Linked DNA regions of Ovis aries. The protein of the gene in region 1 purifies or fractionates together with the protein of each later gene. This does not show direct contact. Links are inferred from orthologs where the notes say so. Each region holds a gene or a part of one and is shown on either strand. Other genes may lie near its edges.

The links.
Region 2: the proteins of CCNL1 (region 1) and CSNK2A2 purify together in Homo sapiens (affinity purification with mass spectrometry; 4 studies listed by BioGRID and IntAct, with this or other methods). This does not show direct contact. The link is inferred for Ovis aries from reciprocal best matches to the Homo sapiens genes CCNL1 and CSNK2A2.

What each region holds. Positions count from the first base shown.
Region 1 is NC_056054.1:231,166,467-231,170,674, reverse strand, and holds the start of CCNL1 (cyclin-L1), read right to left. Parts: upstream 2,801-4,208; 5' UTR 2,748-2,800; coding exon 2,445-2,747; intron 2,161-2,444; coding exon 2,086-2,160; intron 1,391-2,085; coding exon 1,281-1,390; intron 1-1,280. UniProt on the Homo sapiens protein: Involved in pre-mRNA splicing. Functions in association with cyclin-dependent kinases (CDKs). Inhibited by the CDK-specific inhibitor CDKN1A/p21. May play a role in the regulation of RNA polymerase II (pol II).
Region 2 is NC_056067.1:25,635,747-25,639,904, forward strand, and holds the start of CSNK2A2 (casein kinase II subunit alpha'), read right to left. Parts: upstream 2,801-4,158; 5' UTR 2,468-2,800; coding exon 2,364-2,467; intron 1,596-2,363; coding exon 1,484-1,595; intron 1-1,483.

The DNA.
Region 1 (4,208 bases):
TCACTGTTTAAACACCCTTAACAGTCTACTAGATCTAAATATAAATTTTAGCTCAGACCATACTAAATTATCAATTTGAAAACTTCCCAAGTTTCAGGGATTCCTCACTAAGAAGCTAAAAGACATTTTTAAATACAATTACAAAGTTAGTCTATCCCTGAATAAGGTGAATGAAAAAAGAACAGAATAAAGAATATAAGAAAACCGAAAACCACTGTGAAAACTATCTGGGTAACAATATTTCAATCTAAGTAGACTGATCATTCCAAGGCTACTTACTTACTATTCGCTTGTCTCTAAATAGTTTCATTACCAACAATTTACAGATTCAACTAACAAGGACCACTCAAGGAAGCTTTTAATTTTGTACTAACCAATGCCCAACCCCAAAATGACTAAAATCTTTTTATAACTGACTTCCTTTCAAACTCAGTACAAGTTTATCTAATATCACAACAACTTCCTCAAAAAGTGAACAGAAGAACTAATCTACACTATGTACTAGAAGCATCTATTATTATAAGTCATCTGTAGACACAAGAAGTCATCTGTAGGCACAAGCCGCACTGTAACTAAAACTTTTTGGTACTGCCTCACTAGAACACATAAAATGTTAGCAGGCTTCCACCTATAAAACAACACTATTTTGGTTTCTATTTTCTTACTAGATCAGATAAATAGCCCCTATCTAAATGCAGCCCACTCACTGAGACTGTTATCTGACCAAAACAAAATACCTGTTTAATCCCTTTGACTCCAAACTTTATCATCCTGCAGTCCTTTCAGATCCGGTATTATGGGGGATATCGTAGTTCAATGTTGAGAAGTATTCTAACAAAAGCCAACCTCAATTGGTCAAGAATTAACTGGAACTTCCAGTGGTAAGACAGTCTACACAAAACTTCACCACAATATTAACTTGAACTGCAGCGTTTAAACTTCCAGCCTTCAGTCTTACAGAGAAGGGAGGGGAAAAATAACTTACAGAACACACTCACACTTGAGACAAACATACTCCCTTTCTTGTTTAATCTTAAAACCACAGGACTGGCTTCACAGCACTGTTAGGATTGTCCATAAACACAACTGCCTCTACAAACTTCAAATAACTGGTTAACTGTGGTTTTTCAAATTATCAGTGTGTTCCTATGTGAATTTTAACACCTAAATTAAAGTCAGTTTTCCCTTGCATCAGTTTTGAGAGGAAAGAATGTTTTGACATGATTGGTGCACAGTTCAGTAGTAGCAAGAGATGCTGCATTCAATAATGCCAATCTTACCTTTTTCCTCTTAACTGGCGGAGGTGGTGAAATACATTAATCACATCTCTTATTCTTCTAGGTGCTTCTTCAATTTTTGATGCAAGATTAATACATGCCATGGCAACAATCTGGAAAAAAAAAAGAGCCAATAAGAGCTGTTAGATTATGGCACTGCAGGAGTAAAGTTAGAAAGAAGTGCCCCTCTCAAAGTCTACAGAACTTATTCTAATGAAAAAACTTTCAGACACAACTGGGACATTTGGTGAAATAAAAATACAGTTGACATTTCTAGGACATAAATTTATGCTAGTGTGACGTTTCTTTTATTGCCTAAAACAAAGTTTAGTCGCTCAGTCCTGTTGACTCTTTGCGACCCCATGGACTGTAGCCTACCAGGCACCTCTGTCCACGGGATTTTCCAGGCAAGAGTACGGGCGTAGGGGCTGCCATTTCCTTCTCCAGAGGATCTTCCCGACCCAGGGATGGAACCCGGGCCTACGACATTGTAGGCTTTACGGTCTGAGCCACCAGGGAAGTCCTTATTCCCCTTAATTTTCAATCCGGAGCCAAACTCAAACTCATAGGTGCTCTCCATTTGATTGAAAATGCAAATTCTTGATAATAAGGCACCTGGACTCAGGCTCCATCTTCTGATTCTCAAACTCTCTCCAAGAGTCCCTACTCCCCTATGGGTGAGAGCTAGGTACAAAGGCCTAAAACTAACCACTCCCTTTCTGCAAAGGCTGGCCACTGACACTACCCCCTCCTTCCTTCCCATTTCCGGATGGAGAAATCCCCCGTCACCCGCCCCCGCCCTGCTTACCTCGAAACTGTGTTTGACGAAAGACTTGGAGTAGAAAAAACGATGAAACAACACCTGACCCGTTGCCATCGCCACCTGCAGACAAGAGAAGAGAACGGAAGCGCAGGGGTCAGGCGGGCCCGCACCAGGCGCCGCCGCCATTTTGTGCCTCCGCTCACTCCCCTCCCCCTCCCCACCGCGAACAGCTCCTGGGCCGTCCTCCCATCGCAAGCGCCCTCCCGCGCTCTGGCTGCGACCCGCGGCTGGAGAACCCCAGGGGGTGACCTCCCACGCGGCCGGGTCCTGGTAGTACCGGAAGGCATCGGAGGGGAAGGCGGGGAGGGGAGGCGCGCCTGTCGGCCCGGGGCCGGATCACTGACCTGCGGAAGCCGGAGGAGAATGCCGGCGGCCTGGATGAGCTCGCAGCCCAGGATGCGCAAGTCTGTCTCGCTGGGCAGGTCGAGCCCGTCCTGCATGGAAGGGGTGGGCGAGAGCCGCTCCTCCGGAATCAGCGAGTGATCGATGGTGAGCGAAACTTCCGAGTAGAGACGGTCGCCGATCAGGATCCCTCCCGTCGTGGTCGTCGTCGTGGTCGTCGTGCCGGAGCTTGAGCCGCCCGCGCTAGGGGCAGCAGACGAGACGGCGGTGGCAGTGGTAGCGGTCGGGTGAGGCCCGGACGCCATAGTCTCAGCGAGCTGCACGCACGCCCAACGCAGCCGGAACCCGAAGTGAGACTAACCAGCGTTCTCGGCGCGACGGATATTCCCGTGACCGCCGGGTTCTGGCCGCTTCACGCAGCGTGCGCTTCCGCCCTGACGTCACCACGCCCGGTCGGCGTGCCAACTAGTCCCTTTAGGCGTTGTCTCCGCCCGCTGAGCCTACGCCCTCGCCGGCCGCGGAGCAGAGGCCCCTGGGTGGGACCGTCGGGTGACCTGGGTGACCTCCCTGTTGGTTCCCCAGAGTGGCTGGGGACGTGGTCTACTTACTAAAACAACCTCAAACCGCCTCGCCTCGTATGTAATATTTTTAATCAAAAGAGTAATAAGGGAGCTTTACGAGATACCGTATCGCCAACTTCGAGTCCGCAAATTTACTGTAACCCCTGCACAGTTTTGATAATTTCTCTAGAACGTGCGTCTGTGTGCTCCCGTCTCTCTTCCTCTCCTAACTTTCCGCATTTGGGTGGCGCAGGTTCAGCGAGTACAAAGGGAGGCGTCGGATCGACCTTCGCCCGCATTGGCGGGTGTAAGTGGTTACTCCAGTGTCGTGTACGGACGAACTTGTAATTTAAAGTGACCCGCAAGGAATCTGGAGACGGTTGCTTTACAGTATTTTTAGAAAACAGGAATGTGAACTACTTCAGTTCCAAGGGAGAAAAGAAAGTTCCCCGAGAGCCTGTGATTCCCAGAGGTACGGAAGTAGGGCGAAGGCTTCGTATTGACTGCGAGGGCGACTGCTTTAGCGGCTTAGATTATGAAACATAGGCCTGAGCCAGTTGACAGCGCCACAGCTTTCGCTAATCTGGAAAATCCCTAGTTTCCAAAAATAGTTTTAGGGCGAGCCCTCACAGAGGTAATATGATTATGCCCAGAAGGGAGTCTATGTATTCCTGCCTGGTTATTGCAATTAGTAATATGGGAGAAATCTGTCCCCTTTATATATGTATTCTCTCTGTGATATTAGTAGTTCTCCAAATTTCCTGAAGTTTGAAGTAAAAACAGGGATGCTGATCCAAACTACTAGAAGCTAGAGCTGGAGGGAAAGGAGTATGTCCGGGTTTACTCCATTTTTTATCCCACGCTTGACCCTAGGAGACATGGTCTGGAGATAAGACGCCCCATCGCCTATTATATAGCTCAGTTTTAAGGCTTACTTGGATTAATTGTAGAAAGCGAATTGAAACTTCTCTAAATAGAGCAAAGAGAGTTTGAATACATTAAAATATTTGTCAGTGACATCACAAAAGCAAAACATATTCAAAATCCTCATTTTAAAAAAAGCATTAAATCAACCTTACACCAGTATTTCTGAACTCTGGCTGCACCTAAGGATCTTCAGAGGAGCTTTTATTTGTTTTTGGCCACATCACAGCAGCTTGTGGGGATTTTAGTTCCCTGACCAGGGATTGAATCTAGACCCTTAGC
Region 2 (4,158 bases), on another chromosome or scaffold:
GACATTTTTCTGAAATTGCTTTAGTGTCAGCAGTTCGTCCTTCCAAATGCACAGCAATGGAATGTAGATATTCTTAATTTCAATTTATGTCTTGCTTACTTCCTAGAGAGATTTTAACCAGCTTATAGTAAAAACATTTATGCTAATATACTAAGAAAAAAGCTGTATGGCTTTCCCAGGTGACTTCTCTGAAGAAAGCATCTTTTTAAATATTTATGCTTGTGAAGAAATACAATAACAAAAAAGATGACATGATTCTGTGGGTGCAACTCATATTCAGGGAAGAGGAGAGTCAAAAACTCCACATTTTCAATATCAGTTCCTTACTTCTTACCCCCAGCGTTTCTGACAGCATAAATTAGTAACTTGGCTATTTCTCTCAATCATAATCCTGTCTCTTCATCACTAGGCTAGACTGGTACGGAGTATCAGTAGAGTCACTCATTTTTCTGAAAAGCGATTTTCAGACAGTCCAAGCCTGACCCCTCTTTTTAAACAGGAACACAGCTGCCCTAACTCTACTTAAGATGACAAAAACAGCCTTTCAATCCTATATTCTTATCCACAGAACCTCTCCAAAACGGCTATACTGGAACTCCTGTTTGTGTAAAAGTGCTTATATTAATTAACTCTTTGGTCACCTCAAGATTTCACTAAATGACATGCACACAAATGAAATAATCTGGCAATGATGAATACCCTTCACAGATTCTAAGAACTGTTTTTTAGTCCACCCTGTAAAACATTATCAAAGCTATATAACCAGTTACCTGGAAGAGAATTTAGCCAACTCTTCATACTTAGTAAGATCATGTCTCCATCCAAGAGATGACAAAGTGTGTATCTGCTACAAACTTAGGCTGCTAAACCAGATTCAGGCTGGTTTGTTCTAATCATTATTTTAGTGATTCTAAGCGTACTCTCTACTGCTCCCAACTTCACTTTTACTGGCTGATAAGCAACTATGAACCTCCCTGGCCCTGTTAGCTCACTGTATGTACCCCATCTGAACCATTTAGCACCAAAGGAGAAAAAACAAGCAATTATTCACTGGGGTGTTTCCTTCCACTCAGTCTTCAAACTCCTCTTTGAAGCTACTCTGTTTCCATCTTTCTTTCTGGAATAACAAATTCAGTGCTCAAGGAGCCTTTGTATCAACTGGGCTCTTCATGAAGAGGCTCTTCTTGCATGTGAATACCTATTTAGTTTGTAACAAATGGAGGCTCTTTGGAATATTCACTTTGGGAGCCCATAATTACATTTTAGAACAAGGATGTTCCTGAACTACCATGCTTAGATTTGAAAAAGGTCTGTGTGAAAAAAAAGTTCAAACAAAAACAGCTGTGGGAAGAGTAGCAGAGGGACATGGGGCAGAAGGTTTTTAAAATGAGTTTGTCCTGCTCATTCTAGAATGTGGTTGGAGTAGTTTGTATCCTTCTGACCTGTGAAAAAGAAATTTTAATGCCACTCATAAGACACTCACCTTGAGAATTTTTACCACCACTCTCTCGTTGTTGGTGATGTTAATAGCCTCAAATACTTCACTATACTTTCCTCGACCAAGTTTCCGAACCAGCTGGTAATCATCTTGATTACTGGGAAAGACAAGGAGGACACATAAATGCCAGGACTTGGGGTTAACCAAGGCTATGCCCACTACACATCCTCATCCAGGCGCTTCCACTGATCAAGCACTTGGAAGTGTCTATATACCTCATGCCATAACTTATTCCCTACACGAAAGCCACAACATAAACTTGGCTCTTTTCACTGGACGTAGCTCCTAACCTAACTGGTCCCTCATAACTAGGGGGAGACAAGGTGGGAAGGCAGGCGTCTGAGCCAATCTAGCGAGATGAGCTGAGCATCCATCCTGGAGGCTCACAGGTGCCCCTCTGCCCACAGCACCTGCCTTATTACTTCACTCCCGCAAGGTAGACAGCGCTCGATTTGAGAATCTGGACGTCTTTAAAAAATTTCCTCCCACCCAGCCTCATTTCAAAAACCTCAAAAAGGCAGAGAATTTTAATAGCTCAAGAGGACAGCTGCTGACTTCCCACCCCAACAGAAACCCCAACGCGTGAGAAGGAAGGGCTGCTCCTTCACTTCCACCAGGCTCTGGTCCCTGGATCCCTACACTTGTCAGTAAGAGAGCATTCCCCGAGGTGAGAGGGGTGCGCACCGCTGAGAGGAAGGAACGAGAAGCGGGGAGAGGGAGACGAGAATATGGTGGGGAGGGTCTGCTTCCCACCCCAGAGCCGAAGAGGCGCGGGCCCAGCGGGGAGACAGACCACGGGGGGCGAGTGCGGTTTGCGGCGGGGGTGGGGGTGCGAGGGCCCGGAGGGGGGCTGCGGCGGCTTTACCCCCAGCTCGGGACGTGAGCTTCATAGTCCCAGTATTCGCGGCTCCTCAGGCTGTTCACCTCCGCGTAGACCCGGGCCCTGCTGCCCGCGGCCGGGCCGGGCATGGCGGGCGGGACCGGGGGGCGCCGCGGGGCGCCGAGGGTGGCGGCGCGGCGAGGGGCGCGGGGCGACGGGCAAAGGAGGCGGCGGGCAGCGGGCCGCCGGAGGAGGAGGAGGAGGAGCGCGGCGGCGGGCGGCCGCGCCAGGCCGGGCCCGCGGGGGCGGGCGGGCTGGGGGGCGCGGGGGGCGCCGGCCGAGCCGGCCCGGCCCTGGAGCGGCCGGCGGGGCGGCGGGGCGGGCAGCGCTCGCGCTCCGCGGCGGCCTCCGCTCGGCTCGCGGCTCCGAGGCGGCGGCGCTGTCGGCGGCACCAGCAGCGGCAGCCGCCGGCCGGGAAAGGGTCAGCGACGGCGGCGGCGGCGGCGAAGAAGGAGGAGGAGGAGGAGGAGGAAACCCGGAAAAGGGGCCGCACTCACTAGGAGCGGCCGCCGCCCGGCCCGGGTCCGCCCAGGCTCACAGCGCCCCCTGCAGCGCGGGGGGACCCTCCCGGCGGCCCCGCCCCGCCCCGGCCCCGCCCCTCAAGGCCGACTTCCAATCTCTCTCTCCTGGGTCTGGCCCGCCGCGCTCACCACAGGGTCGTCCCCAGCTGCAGGCTGTGGCCCTGGAGCCTTGTGCCTCGTATACCGTTTTAGGACTCCCCTAGAGACCCCTGCCCCAAACGCTCTGCCCTCTAGTCATCCAGAGTTTACCCACCCCAACCTCCCGGATGGACCCTGTTGTGATCTTTTTGTCACCCAAACTGTTCCCAACAAGTCCCTTCCTAATGACTTGCTCTTAGCTCTCAGAACCGCTCCGTCATAAGATTTCCCCTTCCTTCCCAGAGACACGCCGTCTTCCCCTCAATGGACCGTGACCGGTCACCCATAGACCCTTGAACTTCAAGACTTGCCCGTCTCTCTCATGTATCACCTTCCTCATAAAACCCTTCTCATACACTATCCCCAAAATTCCCTTCCAGAACCTTCCCTAAGACCCCTCTGTATGTTCACATCGGACACTTGGTTTAGCTGGAGTCAGCCAGGTTGCTGGCTGTAAAGCTCCTATTTTTCCCTCCATAATTAATAAGCGATACTTTGAGATCATGTAAATACTCTGGTTTTGTTTGGGACCACACCAGGAGACGAATTGTGAGAGTTCTGCCTGTAGGGTTGGGCTGGGGGTTGGGCATGGACTGAGGGTGGGGTGGCCAACCAAACCTTGGCCTATTTTATTATCTTGCTTTCTAGCCCTGAACATTCTTCTCTCTATGATCTTCTGGGCCTTTTGTCTTGCTTTCCCATCCCACTTTTTTTTTTTTTTTTTAATCAACACAACTTCCTCGCACAGCCCAGTTTGTTCTAATCTTTTTTTCATATTCTATTCTCTAGATGAGACTGTTTCCTCTTTTTTTGATATGGTTAAGAGCACAGACAGTGGAGTCAGATTCATCCCAGGTTTGAATCCCAGCCCTGCTACTTACAAGCTCTGTGACCTTGGGCCAACAACTTAACCTCTCTGTGCTGTAGATTTTACAGCATAAAAACTGTAATGGCATCTACTTCATAGGGCTATGGGGAAAATTAGACAAGTTAAACCGTGTAAGGCAATGTCACAGAACGCTCAAACTACCGCACAATTGCACTCATCTCACATGTTAGCAAAGTAATGCTCAAAATTCTCCAAGCCAGGCTTCAGCAATACATGAACTGTGAACTTCCTG